Caenorhabditis elegans: one gene and its partner. The protein of the gene in region 1 interacts with the protein of each later gene in a pairwise test. Each region holds a gene or a part of one and is shown in the gene's direction. Other genes may lie near its edges.

Region 1 (8,282 bases):
TCAAAACGGTTTTTGACAGAAAAAATCTACTAAATATGCAGTTGGTTGGGTGAGCGAAAGTGTTATATTATGAACGGTTCACAGTTCGATGATGATAGTGAGTAATGGGTGGGGGACTGAAAAAGACTGGGAATTGGTAAGTAAAAGTGACACAAAGTTCTGAATTTCAGAGTAGTTTTATAGTGATTACAAGTTTAGATTTTGACAGGCAACTAGAATTTGGAAACAAGAAACCATACCACCCAATGTTGATTCTTCTGGCATTTTAATGATAATGGGTGACAAGCTCTCACATACAGATAGACGGATTAGAAAGTAATAATTTAAAAAAATACATTAAAATCAATTGGGAATGATTTGAGGGGAAGAAGGGACTTTGCACACATCAACTAGCAGTTGCAGTCCTTCTTCCCATTATTTTCAGCTGCACGTGGCAAGTTCTGTTTTGGCTGGACGCCAGTGTCGGCGGCGTTCAAGTCCAAACTTCCGTCTTGGATATTCTGATAGATTTGCTTGGCCGTTTCGAGGAAAGCGTCTTCGACGTTACTGCCACTGAAAAAAAAGCCATTTGAAATTGATGAATTTGCAGTGGGGGGGTGGGGGGAAGAAACTTACGTCTTCGCACTGCACTCCAAGAAAGTGAGCCCGTTTTCTTCGGCGAAAGCTTTTGCTTCCTCGTATGGCACGTCACGTTGATCTTCGAGGTCGGCTTTGTTTCCGATAAGAAAGATGGCCTGAAAAAGGAACTTGTGAGAATTGGTGCTTGAATCTCATTTTTATTGTAAAATTAAATCAGTGCAAAGTGGACGAAATACTGTTTTCTTACTAATACAGGTAGATTTTTAACTCTCCAAATAAAACTAGATAACCCAATTTTAACTCGTTTTTTTTAGATATTAGTTTAACGATAAAACACACAATTTAGAGCACATACAGATTGAATGTTTTCCAGCTTAAATCTGATTCATGAGAATTTTGATTGAAATTCAGTTTATAGTCTACGATCTTTTGAGCTGCAAATAAATGTTATGCTTGCAAAAATTCATAAATTGCAATTTACTAAACATGGCGTACATCTATGTAGTTTTGAAATTTTGCTGAAAGTTCAAATTCGCTTTAATTTTGGAACTTGGGAATGCTTTTATAAAGTATAAATTCGAGTTTTTATATATTTTTCAACCCTACTTTTGAGTAAAAATTATAAACCAAGTATATATTTTACCTACCGTATTTGGATTGGTCAAGCTTTTTGCGTCGGCCAACCAGCTGCTCAAATGATTGTAGGTAGAACGGCGAGTGATGTCGTAGACCATCAAGGCTCCGGCTGCTCCACGATAATATGATCGCGTCACAGCGCGGAATCGCTCCTGGCCCGCCGTGTCCCAGATTTGAAGCTTGATCTTCTGTCCGCTGACCTCAATAATCCTGGTGCCGAATTCCACGCCGATTGTGTGCGGGCAGTCGGCCATGACTGAAAGTTAGTTATAGTTAGTTTTTGCGTTTGTTGCCCGCAGTGATTGTACGGTGGTTATTGACCGGAGGAACAGGTCTCTTGTTGATGACTAATGTTGACACAAACAACATGATATATCGATTTTCCAGGAATGCGGGACTTACACTTCTTTTCTGTGAACTGATGAAGAAGACACGATTTTCCGACACCCATATCACCAATAATAATATATTTGAAAATATACGAATAATTGTAAGGAGCAGCCGTCATTTTTATGTGTTTTTGTTACCTGAAAGTTGCGGATTATATTTTGGTTATTCGTTTCAGAAAAAAGGATACAAAAAAGTAGCAATGAGAATAGATAGACCACACAAAAGAAAGTGGCTATTAGAGACTGACTGCCAAGTTGTCATTAGTTGGAAGTAGGGGAAAACCGACGGGGAGAGAGAGACAAATGTGGAAGTAGTTGGGATAGAGAAAGATGAACGCCACGTCCAAAAGCAATAGAGAATCCATTGGCCTCCAGAAAGCTAAAAGAGGCAATGTCGGAGAGAGAGAGAGGAGCAGTTGTACGAGGAGTGCTACGCAATGGAATATCACGAGGAAAGAGACACTGGACAAAAACGGGGGCCCCTCCATTCCTCTATCTCTGTCTTCTCTGAGAAACGACGCGTCGCGTACTATCGACCGCGACGCTTGCAACGGAACTGGTCTCTACTGCGTGTCTCTAACGTCTCGCTCTCGGTGTGCGCTGTACTGTGCTGTCTGACTCTCGCCTTATGTGCCGCGTAGGAGACGGATTGGAGATGAAGAAAAAAACACGTAGAGAGACAAAAAGAGAGAAGAGTGAAATGACGAGTGAATGCGCACGTGTGTGTGGGCTCTAGCTTTTCTCCTTATTCATCTGTCATTGGTGTTGAGCCAGCTATCTTTTTCCTTGTTCCAAAGAGATCATGCTTTTTCTTTTTCATATACGTAGATGCCTAAGACATGGAAAAAACAATTATTTCCTCCTGCTTCTTGTTTTGCTCTTCAAATTCATCTTCAGAACAGAGTAAAATACTATAATATTAAATATGCTTAATAGCCTAATCAAATTGCAAATTATGACTTCAATTTCCAACCATGGCTCCCCTAATCGGTTACAACTCGTTTGTGAACAGTCTTACAGTTCTCGAGACATTTGATTTTATCACTATTCGACCATCTACCCACTCATTCTCTATCTCTCGTTTCGGTCCCCGTAGTTTCCTTCTCTGACACTTGTGTTGATCGTAGTGCCGCGATGATATTTCGCAATACCTGCTGATGCACGAGCTTCTCTCATCGCCACGCGCTCTCTTCCGATTCCTCTCGTCGTTTCTGTGATATGTGAAGAAGGGCGGTCCTCCCTCTAGTCATCTACAATGTAGTATTGCGAAATATTAAAAAAAAAAAAAACGGAAAATTCATTGTGAAACCCTCGCAGCCAGTAATGTTTCGCAATAACACCCCTTCATTCTTACCAATTCTAGGGTTATCATTCTTTGCATTTTCTTGTCTGTAGTCTACCAACTTTATCTCATTTGCTTCTTCTCCTTTTGTAACAATGTTCCCTAAACATTATTTTTTTTGTTTTTCAGGGTATGGCTCGTACAAAATGCAAAACCAAAACCGTAGCCAATCCTAGAACTGGAGTCAGAAAAACCGCAAAAGATCTTTCTGAACCAGTTCGTCAGGATGCCGTTTCAAGAAGGAGGCCCACAACTCTTCCTTTTGTTGGAAATACCTCAAGTCGTCCAAGGGTGTTTTACGATGTTCTAGCCAAGAAGAATGTCGTCTTCCCAAATGTCAAAGCAGAGTACCACTATAGAGTTCGCAATGCTCCGAAGATTGATCCAAAGAATTTTGGCACGACGCTTCCAATCTGCTATTCTTCAATCGGACCTGCAAAAACACTTGAACTTCGTCCACTGGGTCGTCTACCCCCGCACATCATCAAAGCGTTGAATGATCACTACGTGCAACTGACACGTGGATCTATGGTTCCGGCTGCGGATCTATATAACAATGGAGATCATCCAGCAGAACAACGCATACCAACAATGTTGAATGAGAATGAGTACTTGCGTTTGATCCAGGAACTCGAGGAAGAGGAGAAGTCGAAGCAGTTTTCAGCTACATCCAGCTCCGCACCACATGTGAACCCATATAGTGCCCAACACTTGGTGAGTTGAAATTAAAATTTGAAATCTTCTCATTCAAAAGAATCAATGTTAAGGTTAACGGTGAAATTATCGGAATCTTTGTCATTTATGGAACTGGTCTTGTTACTCGCGCTGTTTGCTCACAAACTCGCGAAATGTTTACCGCTCACGTGCTTCCTGAATGGAAAGCGTCGAAAGTGATTGACGTCATTCGACGACTTCAAATCCCCACCGACATCTCATCCATGACCGCTGATGAAATCCGTTTAAGGTGAGTCAAAAAAAATGCTCATATGATGAAACAAAGGGGGGATTATGAAATCATTTAAAAAGTAAAAGTCAGAATCGGGACGCTGACGTCATAAAGTCAGAAAGTTGATACAATCTTTGAATAATTCAGCGAACTCTGCATATCAAAGAGAATGGAAATTATCAAGAGTAACGACAGATACATTCTTATGAATCCGTGCGAATCGGCTACAATTCACTCCTACGCCACCGAGCGTCTTGATGAAATAACTGAAAACGACGTGATGAGTATCTACCAAAAGGTTGTGGAGATTGTTCGATTTTGTCATTCGAGAAAAGTGATTCTCCAAAACTTCAAGCCTAGAAGCTTCTACCTAAAGAAAGATGCACATAACAAATGGGTTGTTCGTCCGTGCTTCCTTCAAGACATGAGCTGTGAGGAAGATCAGTCCGAAGCGCAATTTACTCGTAGATCAGTTTGCGTTCCATTCATGGCTCCGGAGGTTTGCAGTTCAAATATTGTTCCACATTAAAAAACATAAAATTTCAGATGCTCACTGCCGAGTCGAGAACACATCATAGCTATAGCACCGAGCTTTGGGGACTTGGTGTCTTACTGTACATATTGCTAACTGGAAAGTATCCATTCCATGAGAATAGTATGCCACTGTTGTTCCGTACCATCAAATTCAAACAACATCGCTGGCCGTTTAATTTTATATCCTCCAAAAGTAGGTCAAAGTGAAAAAATTGAAATGGTTTAAACTCCGCGCCTATTTTAGGTAGAAACATTGTGAACATGCTGCTAAAAAAAGCACCAGCAACCCGAATGAATCTCGAAGATCTGTGGAATCAAGTGAATGGAGATTTCCCGGAAATTAGATGTCGTTCCAACATAATCCTGAAGAAACAGGATATGATTGTGAAGATGGACCTGTTCGAGATGTACTACAACACCTATAAAGATCGACTTCTTCCGAAAAACGTACTCCCAATGTATGAAGAAATGAAGGCTTGCAGAAATGATTCAACAATTCTCACCGAAATGGCAAAGAGAGATTTTCGCTCAATTCAAGAGCAGATGAAACGTCGAATTGAAACGAAACCAACTGAATATCAAACATTAGTGATGCAAGTTCGCCTGCAACAGATCAACCAACTATTCTTCGAGAAGGAAGTAAGCCAAGCCCAAAAGCAACATCGTGCTCCAAGACTGGTCCAACTGAAATGCAGTGATATATCGAAAGAGCTACTGCTTCCCGGTGACATTTACCCAATTAGCGAACATTATCACCCAAGCCAGCAGCCAGTTGATAAAGTCGTCTACAAGCTTCTGTCCGACGCCAATTCGCTGGCGTTTCCAACTGTTATGAAAGGGACCGTTCCGAAATCATATCCACCTCCGGTGTTCAAGGGACTTGACATATCGCCCTCCTAAATAGAACATGTAAATAGATAGCTAGCTTTCTTTATGTACTTTCCAACTTTCTGTATGTTCTCTCGCATCCTTGTAATTAACTCGTCAGAAATTCTTATTCTACCAACTTTCAAAATTCCGAATATTTTAGAAAATCTGTAATGTAATTCAAGGTCGACAAACTACCTCTATGGGTGTTTTATTTATCATCATGTCTGTTTTTTGTTTCAATCTCCAACTTCATGTAACTACTCTTATCTCATATAAGGTCTGCCAATGTGTATTCCTCCCTGTCTCCTCCCAGTCAGCATTCAAACTTTCGCAAGAAGTTTCGATACTGTAGCACTGCTATAATATACATATTCACAAAACTCTTTTACAAAACCGATAAGCCTGTGAATTATCAATAAACATTGGGTCACAAACGACGAAATAGAATTGCATTCGAGATAAGAACTTTATCATTGAAAAGTGAGCAGAATTCATTGCAAGCAGAAAGTTCGATTTCGCAACAGACACGTCTCACGTGCAAGTTGGTAATTTGAAAAAGTCATGCAACATTGGAAATTGAAAATAAAAATGAAAGTTGTTGACTGCTAGAATTAGAAATCATGGGCACTGTTTACGAGAAATATAGAAAGGGTTTTTTGGATTAATGAGGGTACCTAGGTAACTTTTTTTCCGTTTCAAGAAATTGAACATTTTCAGTAGTACAAGTTACAAGATAACTTAGCTAGCAATTTTAAAAATTTGAATTGTCTAGCTTAAAGCATACTTGCGGAATTCTGAATCATTTAGACGGCACATGTTCAAAAATAGATCATTTTGGGTCTGGAAGGAAATGTACAAATTTGGCAAATAGGCAATTTGCCGGTTTGCCGATTTGCCGGAAATTTTCAATTTCGGCAAGTTGCCGATTTGCCGTTTGCCGGATATCAAATTTGCCAGAAATTTTAATGGTATTTTTTGTAAGACGGAAAAACTTAAAACTGTGTCTTTTTTGAATTTTTTTAGTTTTGTCTGCATATTTTCTTAGAAACTGCTTACTTTTCAAAAAATAATAATTCAAAATAGAATAATATTTATAGGATGCGTACAATTTTGCTATTTGAAATTGTAATTCTAAAATTTCCAAAAAAGTTAGTGCGAAATTACAATTTGCCGAAAATTGTTCGTCAAATTGCTTTTTTTCCGGCAAATTCGGCAAATTGACAATTTGCCGGTTTGCCGATATGTTGAAAATTTCAATTCTGGCAATTTGCCGATTTGCCGGAAATTTCAATTCTGGCAATTTGCCGATTTGCCCATTTGCCGGAAACGATTGTCGCCCACCCCTTAAATGTAGTCACAAAGCAAACCAACTTTTATAAATACAGTGTCGGCCAAAAATATGTGCGTTTTTGGTTTTTCAGTGTTTTTTTCAATCAAAATTAGTATATATAACTCTGAAAATGAAAATTTCGGAAAAAAGCTTAACTAACAAGCTGTTGCTCTCACTTTTTTCTACACACTGAAATATTTTTCGAAGCATCAAAAAAATAATGGCATTACATACAGCGCCCGAGATCTCGTCAAAATTTAATTCATCAAAAAGTAATTTGATATTATAAATTCATTATTTTTATGGTTAACATTCAAAATAATTTTTAAAGGATAATAAAATAAAGGTGAAAATAGGTGATATTTAAACAAAACACAGGATGAATGATGAAGAGATACGAAGAAAACAATGCAATTCCTGAAACAGTTGAATCGGGTGGAGATGTGACATGGTGCAACAGAGATGGCAATATAAAGCTTTGAACAACCACAATTGTTATTTTATTAAAGCGGTGAATGAACTTTCATTTTATGCCTAAGAAATGAAATGGAATGGGAACAAATATTTTTTTTTGTTTCGAAACTTGTTTTGAGAACATTCAAGCTAAAGACAGTCAATGCTTACGCTTGGCTGAAAAAGAATGGGAGGAGGAGGAGGACGAAGCCTCGTCTCGGTCCTTGACTTTGTGCTTGCGTTCGCGACGCTCGTCTTCCTCATCCTTATCGCGACCTTTATCCTTTTTCAAGTACTTTGAGCTGTGCTTCCCATCGTCCGAACGGTTCTTGGCCTTTTCCTTTTCCAATAGACTACGCAATTTTGCATTTTCCTTTTCCGCTTCTTCAAGTTTTTCCTGGAGTCTTCGAATGTTTCTGTCATCCGATGACAAAGCCGACTTGGTGCCCAAGCACTTGCGAGCCTTTTCCCAAGCGCCACCAAACGATTCCTTCAAAACCTGCAGTTGAGTGACAGTTTCCGCGTCCTTCTCCTGAATGTCGTTTGCCAGTGTCTCTATCTCTTTGACAACTCCATCTAGCTCTTCGCCAATTTCTTTATCGTTATAAATATTGAACATTGCAGTGAGCTTCTGCTGTTGAATGCGTTTCTTGAACAACATCTCTCTATTATCGATACCAGCCAGGTCCATGTTCCAGATTTTTCTGAGAGTGTCGATCGGCTTCACGTAGTCCTGACTTTCAATGCCATCGATGTTGACCTTCGACATTTTGAATGTTTTTTCGAAGCTATGTGGTTGGAGGCTAGCGTCTACGGTGAAATCGTTCATCTCCTCTTCAAGTCGCTGATGCATAACATCTAGCTTTTCATTTGCAGCGGCCTCTACTCTGAAGAAAAATATTTGAATAAAAGTTGAAATGAAAATCAACTCACTCTTTCTCACAAACTTCACATCTAATTCCAACTGGATTCACTACGCGTTCGCGAGTCTTGTTGTTGAGAAAACTAGCAACTTGAATGGACGTTTTCTTGATATCTGAAACAAAAAATTGTTTGGTTTTTTTTATACATAAATCTATCAATACTAACGAGTGCATGCATGCTTCTCATCAATGACTCCGCCGTAACGAAGTGGACGTCGCTGAGTGATTCTTTGAAGAATCAAGCCAAGCTTCGGATAATGGGCCAGAAGCTGGTAAATCT
Region 2 (6,617 bases), about 14 Mb from region 1:
CAAAATATCAAAAATTGATCCATCACAAAATTGATGAAAAACTTATAAACTGAAAAAATTTTAAGTGGTCATGGTGCATCGATAGGGTTAGTTAGTCCTGCATCTTCTCATTTTGATAGCTCATATCTGACTTAAACTTGAGGTGTAAAGCTAGGTAATTTATCATGATGCATCGACTTTAGAAACTTGAAGAATATAAGAAAAATTTGAAGTTTTATATTTTATTTGTCATAATCTCTGGGCCACTGACCAGCAGCAGCTGTTTAATAAACACTCTTCCTCCAGGGATCTCCTTCTTGTTGTTTTTTGTTCTCTTTTCTTTTTCATGTGTCGTTTCTCTACTCCCTCATCATCCTATCATCTGATACGTTCAATGAGGCACTCTTTATTGACATTTGGGTGCTGCCTGCTGCCCACACGTCATATTTTTTACGGGGAAGAGGGTAAGGGGAACAGGAGAGAAACTTTAGTGAATTGGTATTTGAATGACCTTGAAAACTGAAAATTTTGACTGTATTATATTTGAAGTTTAAAAATTCGAATTTTGACCTAACTTTTAAATTTAAATTTCTTATTTACTAACCCAGTTAACAATAAAAAAACATATTTAAAATATTCTAAACTAATCAAATTCCAAATTTACGCCAATTTTTACCACATGACCTAGTGTTTTCAATTGCAATTGTCATCTTACCCTTAGCAAACAAAGTTTTCTCCCCGCTTATATTACACGGGTTTGTCATCATTTTCTAGGCATATGACATATATGCTAGCTATTGATTTTTGTTCGTAAATCGAGAGGCGTAGGCGCCGATTGGGGGTTCTTGATCGAATTAGATCGCGTTCCTCGCACTCGAAATCAGAAATGTGATTTTTCTTTGTTTTGGGCGCGAAGGTTGTGATGTGTTTTTTTCAGTTTGTTGAGGATTCGAAAGTTAATTTTTTTTTTTTGAAATTTTAACTGACAAGATTTTAAAATTTATTTTTGATATATTTTTTCTGCTGAAAAATAATGAATTTTTTTAAAACGTTTTCCAAATTCCCATTCGATGCAACATGTTCAATTTTTACTTTAAACTGGAACAACTAATGGTTAAAAAATTTCTAGGTTTATAATAGTTATCTGACTATAAATATGTGTATTAGCAGGTTTTCTTTATTTTTTGAATCAGAAAATTATCGTACATATTCCAAATATACCGACATATAGACCAGGGGTGGGGGGCAAACGATTTTTTCCGGCAAATCGGAAAATCGGCAAATTGCCGGAATTGAAATTTTCGGCAAATCAGCAATTTGCCGGAATTTAAAATTTCCGGCAAACCGGCAAATTGCCGATTTGCCGAATTTGCCGACAAATCGGTAATTTGCCAAAAATTTTCGGCAAATTGTGGTTTTGCACTTATTTTTTGGAATTTCAATTTCAAATGGCAAAATTAAACGCATCATATGAATTTTCCTATATCTATTTTGAGAAGTACGCATATTCTATAAAAAATATGTAGAAAAAACGAGAAAAATTCGAAAATAGACAGTGTTAAGTGCTTCCGTCTTATAAAAAACCCCTTTAAACATTTCAGGCAAATCTGGTATCCGGCAAATCGGCAAGTCGGCAACTTGCCGTAAATTAAAATTTCCGGCAAATCGGCAAACCGGCATATCGCCGGAATTGGAAATTTCCGGCAAATCGGCTAATAGCCGGTTTGCCGATTTGCCGATTTGCCGAATTTGTCGACAAATCAATTTACCGAACGGCAATTGCCGCCCAGCCCTGATATAGACTATCAAAGTCATATGATTTTTATCGATGCACCATGTTTAGTTATTACTCTTTCAGTATAGCTCTCTAACTTGAGAAACTTGTATTTGTTTTTGTCACATTTTCTATAATTTTGTAGTAAAGAATAAATTTATACCTTGAAAACAATATTTTGGTTGTTTTTGATTTCGGTAATAAATTGTCAACAATTGACAAAATACTTTTTTATCACATTTTTCGAATTTTGTAGTCAAAAATAAGTTTAGAACTAAAATCGTGCCAACACATGGACTGTCAAGTTCATATGATTCTTGTCGATGCACCATGTATTAAAATCACTTTAGTATTGCACTCTAACTTGAACAGCTTATAACTTGGTTGTTTTTGAGATTTTCAGAAAATTTTCAATTGAAAAAATTCTTATTATTACGTTTTCTAGCGGTTTGAAGTTGAAAATTTATAGTTTTTCAAAAAAATAGGAATATTTACCAGCAAGGATCTAGAATGGGAACTGTGATCCCAATCGATGCACGATGAGCAATAGTTTTTGTTGAGCCGTTACCTTCTAACTGAACAGATGTTGAATGAATTTATAACAATTTGCCAACTAACATAGTATTTGTTTTATAGTTTTTTAACTAAAAATGATTATTTTATGGCTACCAGTCGAAGTGTGTAGCCGATGCACCATGTTCAAATTTGGAACAATTCTATTTAGTTTGTTCTTTTTTCTCTCTCTCTCCTACAATCTCCATTTTCCCCCACGACAGTTTTTCATGACTTTGCAGTATGCATGACATGTATGACTCACAGTCCAGTTCCCTCGGTTTCTCTGCGTCTTTCCCAGCAAACAACAAAACCACTCGCGCTTCTCCCATTCCTCTCGCCCCGCATAGTGTGCAGCGGGAAGAGACGCAGAGGCGGCGTTGTGACTCATCGCAAGCTCTGCGTCTCCTGTCCCCTCCTCTCTTCTCACAACACAACATTGCCGCCGATTTCGCAATACTTTGCGCCCTGCCTCCTAGCGTCGGTATTCATCCATCTCCTTGGAGTCTAATTGTACACAACTCGCCCCGCCCATGGCTATAAGTCGACGTGGAAAAAAGTGTCGGGGTTTGTCATTTCGCAATCCGGAGACGGTTGGGTCTGGTGGAGGGCTCCTCGAGCTGGTTTGAGTATTTTGTAGTGTTAGAAGCCGATTTCTATGTTGATAATCCTTCTTCTTAAATTAGCAGTTACATAGTCATTTGTGATGTCGATTTCCTTTCTGACAATTTTTCAACTTTATAGACAATTTAAATATCTATTTTTTATCCATTTTCTAGTGTTGGAGCAAGTCTAAAAGTTTGAGTTATCGTTTCTAAAATCTGTAAGAAATGTAACCTTTTTAGTTTATTTTATTCACACTCCCATTTGATAACTACTGATAACCTTCTGGGTGTGTCCCATAGCGCTTGCTCACCCTTATGCAGCTGGTTGCTAAATTCGGCGGCAATGACGTCATCATTTCACTTTTCTCATTTTTCCTCCTTGCTTTCTCTGTTTCTCTTTTTATTTCTCATCGCCTCTCACCGAGAACATTCGAAACCTTTTCGCAAACTGTTTGCTCTTATTTCTCTTTAACTTCTCTTTAAGTTTAGTGTATTTTTTTCAGAATAAAGAAAATGTATAGCAAGCTGAACTACAGCCACCAAAAGGGCGACCAGGCCCTCAAGCATCCACACCTGGTAAGACTCCAGCAATCCGAGGTACGTGGGTTCACTGACATGCCGAACAACGGAGCTTCCACCTCCTCCGCCGGATCCTTCGCAAGACAAGTAAGTGGATAAAGTGCTCTTGCTCACTCTTAGTCATCGATATTTTCAGGACTCTCTTACCATTGCCGCATCCCTCCAGCAACGTGACCGCGAACGCCATCCAGTGGACTTTATGGAAACTGAGCTGGACCTTGGCGACTACCTGCAAGTGCTCCACGATCTTGACGTTCCTACCGACAATGTGGATTTTGATGATGCCGAGCTCCAAAAGTGCAACATCCTTTACGACGGAGAGCATCCTTACGAACAACCGGAGCTGAACGGATATGAGCGCCACGTGGCGTACGGCACTGGCTATCGAGTGCCTGGGGATTATGATCAGGATGGGTACAAGATGAATTGTGAAGTGAAAGCTGAGACACCGGATTTCGGAGCTACCAAGACCCGCCGAGCTGTCAAACGCCCAGTTCCTTATGACGATTACCAGAAGGAATACTCGGAGGAGTCCAGCGATATGACGGATAACGACGGAAGCGTTGACGACTCCTACTTTGAGCCAAAGAGCAAGAAAACTAAATCCGCCGGACTGGAAAACTTCAAGCCACAGACCAGAGCAAGAAAGTACAAACTCAAGGCAGACGAGGAGAAGGCTGAGCCGACCTACAAATTGAAAAGAGCCCGGAACAATGATGCCGTCAGAAAATCGCGTAAAAAGGCAAAGGAGCTCCAGGACAAGAAGGAAGCCGAGCACGACAAGATGAAGAGGCGCATCGCCGAGCTTGAAGGGCTCCTCCAGTCCGAGCGTGACGCCAGACGTCGGGACCAGGACACCTTGGAGCAGCTTCTCAGGAATAAGTGAGTCAGAATAAAACCCTTAGTGTTTCTCAACGATTTGTAATTTCAGAGGCCCGATGAAAGAGCAACGCATGCCCCAACGCCACATCCTCGAGAACTTCAACAAGTAACCTGCAGCTTCATCAATTAACCAATCAATAATTTAGACACCTAGGATCCTCATATTTATTCCACGGCATTCTCCCCCCATCATTCCAGTGACCCCCCCCCCCCCCCCCCCTTCATTGATCCCAATCTAGTCTCCCAGTGTAAAACAAGCATCAAACCGTACATAATTCTATTCCATCTCTCTCCCTTCCCCCCAAAGCTGAGCTTTCATCTGTTCCCCCCGTTTACTTGCTGGCAAGTTATTTTGTTACTTAGTTGTGAAACTTGAAATTTCCTATATTTTGAGAGTTGCTCGCAGAGCCTCTTGCGCTTCAAAGTCCAATAACTCGAAATTGGCTGGAAAATTTTCCTTAACTTCCTTTCAACACCACGTAGCAAAAAACCAGATCCTCTTCCAATCCCTACACCACTGGTAATGTTTCCCCTTCCAGTCAACTAGTGCATTTTTTGTCTGAAAACCTATCCCCCCTGAACATGTGTTAACTAATTTTGCCTTGATAATTTCAAATTCGCTTTATTATTTTTGCCTTTTTTCTATTGTTTTTTTCTTTTTGATCGCTGATTTTATCTAAATAGAAATAAATTCATCAGTGCTCAAAAAATTTACATTTAGGATTCCAAATTCTATAGTCAAAAATTTCAAAAATTTCAAAAATATATAAATATATTGCGGTGGGGGGCTTGACTAGCCAGGGGTTGTGCTACATATAATAATACAATTTTACAGAGATTTGAGATAATAATTATGATAATGCCAGATGGCTCAGCTGATGCTCTGGAGATACTGCTTAGCCAGGTCTGGGAAGGCTTGGCGGCGTTCTCTGAAAATGTTGTAGTTTGTACTTCGTACTTTGTAGTTAACTAGGATTACTGTAGTTACTGAGGAACTGATTAATAAGATAACAGGAGCCCATAACAAAAATGGTCGAAAAAAAGGCATTAACATTTCGAAACATTTCGTATAGTGTCACACGTTGATGAAGATTATTTGGAGCATTCGGAGCATAACTATCATTTTATCAGACGGAGGTTTGAGGTGAAACTTTGGAAAAAAGTGGTTTTTTTCTGGGACCCAATTTCGGAAAAACGTATTTAGAAACTATTGATTTCCAAAATTAATAGAAATTAATAGAAATTAATGTCCAAGTAGGTATCAAATTTTCACGCCAATTTCAAAATTCACCTGCAGGCAAAGAACATCTTCGCGACCCGTCTCCGCTTCACCTCACGTTCTACGAGCATTTTTCGCCGCTTCTGAGTCAACTTTTTCTGTCTTCGGATAGCTCGTCGGATCTTTTTCTGCTCCTCTCGGATCCGTGCGGTTTGCTCCGTCGCCTGTCGGAACTGCTCCTGGAGTTGCTCTGCGAGCTGGCGGACCTGCTCCAACGTGTCCTGGAAAAGCCGGAGGGAGTCTTGTTGGGCACGGCGTCGCTGGATTTCTTCCGGGGAAAGGGAGCAGGGCTGAAAGTTGAGAATTTCTCAAAATTTTCAGATTTTGTAATTTTTAGCTTGAAAAGGTTCAAATTTTTAAGATTTGCACAAATGAAAAACGATCGCACTGACCAAATGGCTATAATTCTCGTCCATTTTGAAAACACTAACTCAGTTTTAATTTACCGTACTACTCATTTAATTTTGTCTGCTTTAAGCCAAAAAATGCTTTGACAAGAAAAATAGCACTGACCAAAATTTTGCCAATTGGCAATTGTTTCAACTGGATTTTTTTTCTAAAACAGAGAAATATCTGCTTGCACTGACCAAAATTACATAGTTATGTTTAGTTTTTACACCGATTCCAATGTTCAATGTCAATTTTCTAGTTTTTTATTTAACAAATTCCTAAACAAAAATTAATGTTTTTTGGCTCACTAGGTTATGCTCAATGACTCATGTTTACTACTAATGAATTCTCCGAAAATTTCGCAACATTTTTTTCATTACCCTACTGAAAACACTTACTTCGTACTCATCAAAAAAATCGGCTCCGCAAAATCTATCGGATGATCCTCCTGGCGGCATGTTGTGAGAAGGTTCTAGAATTTGATTTTTAATTCAGTTTCTTGGAATATGAAATGAAAGCATAAAAATGCTGATGAAGTCTCAAAACTCTAGGAAAAGTTTGAAATTAGTAAGATGAA

Evidence for each region. Proteins that work in one complex are often made in the same cells at the same time.
Region 2: the proteins of nipi-3 (region 1) and cebp-1 interact in a two-hybrid assay, tested with the Caenorhabditis elegans proteins (one study listed by BioGRID).

The regions. Positions count from the first base shown.
Region 1 is NC_003284.9:15,604,894-15,613,175, forward strand, and holds nipi-3 (Protein nipi-3), read left to right. Parts: upstream 1-3,075; 5' UTR 3,076-3,078; coding exon 3,079-3,660; intron 3,661-3,713; coding exon 3,714-3,910; intron 3,911-4,039; coding exon 4,040-4,391; intron 4,392-4,438; coding exon 4,439-4,619; intron 4,620-4,670; coding exon 4,671-5,326; 3' UTR 5,327-5,730; downstream 5,731-8,282. Other genes in the region: Ras-related protein Rab-14, read right to left, coding at 390-552, 616-734, 1,227-1,471, 1,618-1,723; K09E9.3 (Transcription initiation factor TFIID subunit 5), read right to left, coding at 7,240-7,966, 8,013-8,115, 8,169-8,282. UniProt on the Caenorhabditis elegans protein: Adapter protein that regulates different signaling pathways. Required for larval development and viability. Involved in negatively modulating pmk-1 p38/MAPK signaling.
Region 2 is NC_003284.9:1,450,665-1,457,281, reverse strand, and holds cebp-1 (CCAAT/enhancer-binding protein homolog 1), read left to right. Parts: upstream 1-3,413; 5' UTR 3,414-3,423; coding exon 3,424-3,576; intron 3,577-3,625; coding exon 3,626-4,371; intron 4,372-4,420; coding exon 4,421-4,481; 3' UTR 4,482-4,587; downstream 4,588-6,617. Other genes in the region: W05H7.1 (uncharacterized protein), read right to left, coding at 5,243-5,300, 5,663-5,940, 6,439-6,498. UniProt on the Caenorhabditis elegans protein: Transcription factor. Binds to promoter regions of target genes, perhaps at the motif 5'-[AGCT]TT[AGT][TC]GAAA[ACT]-3'.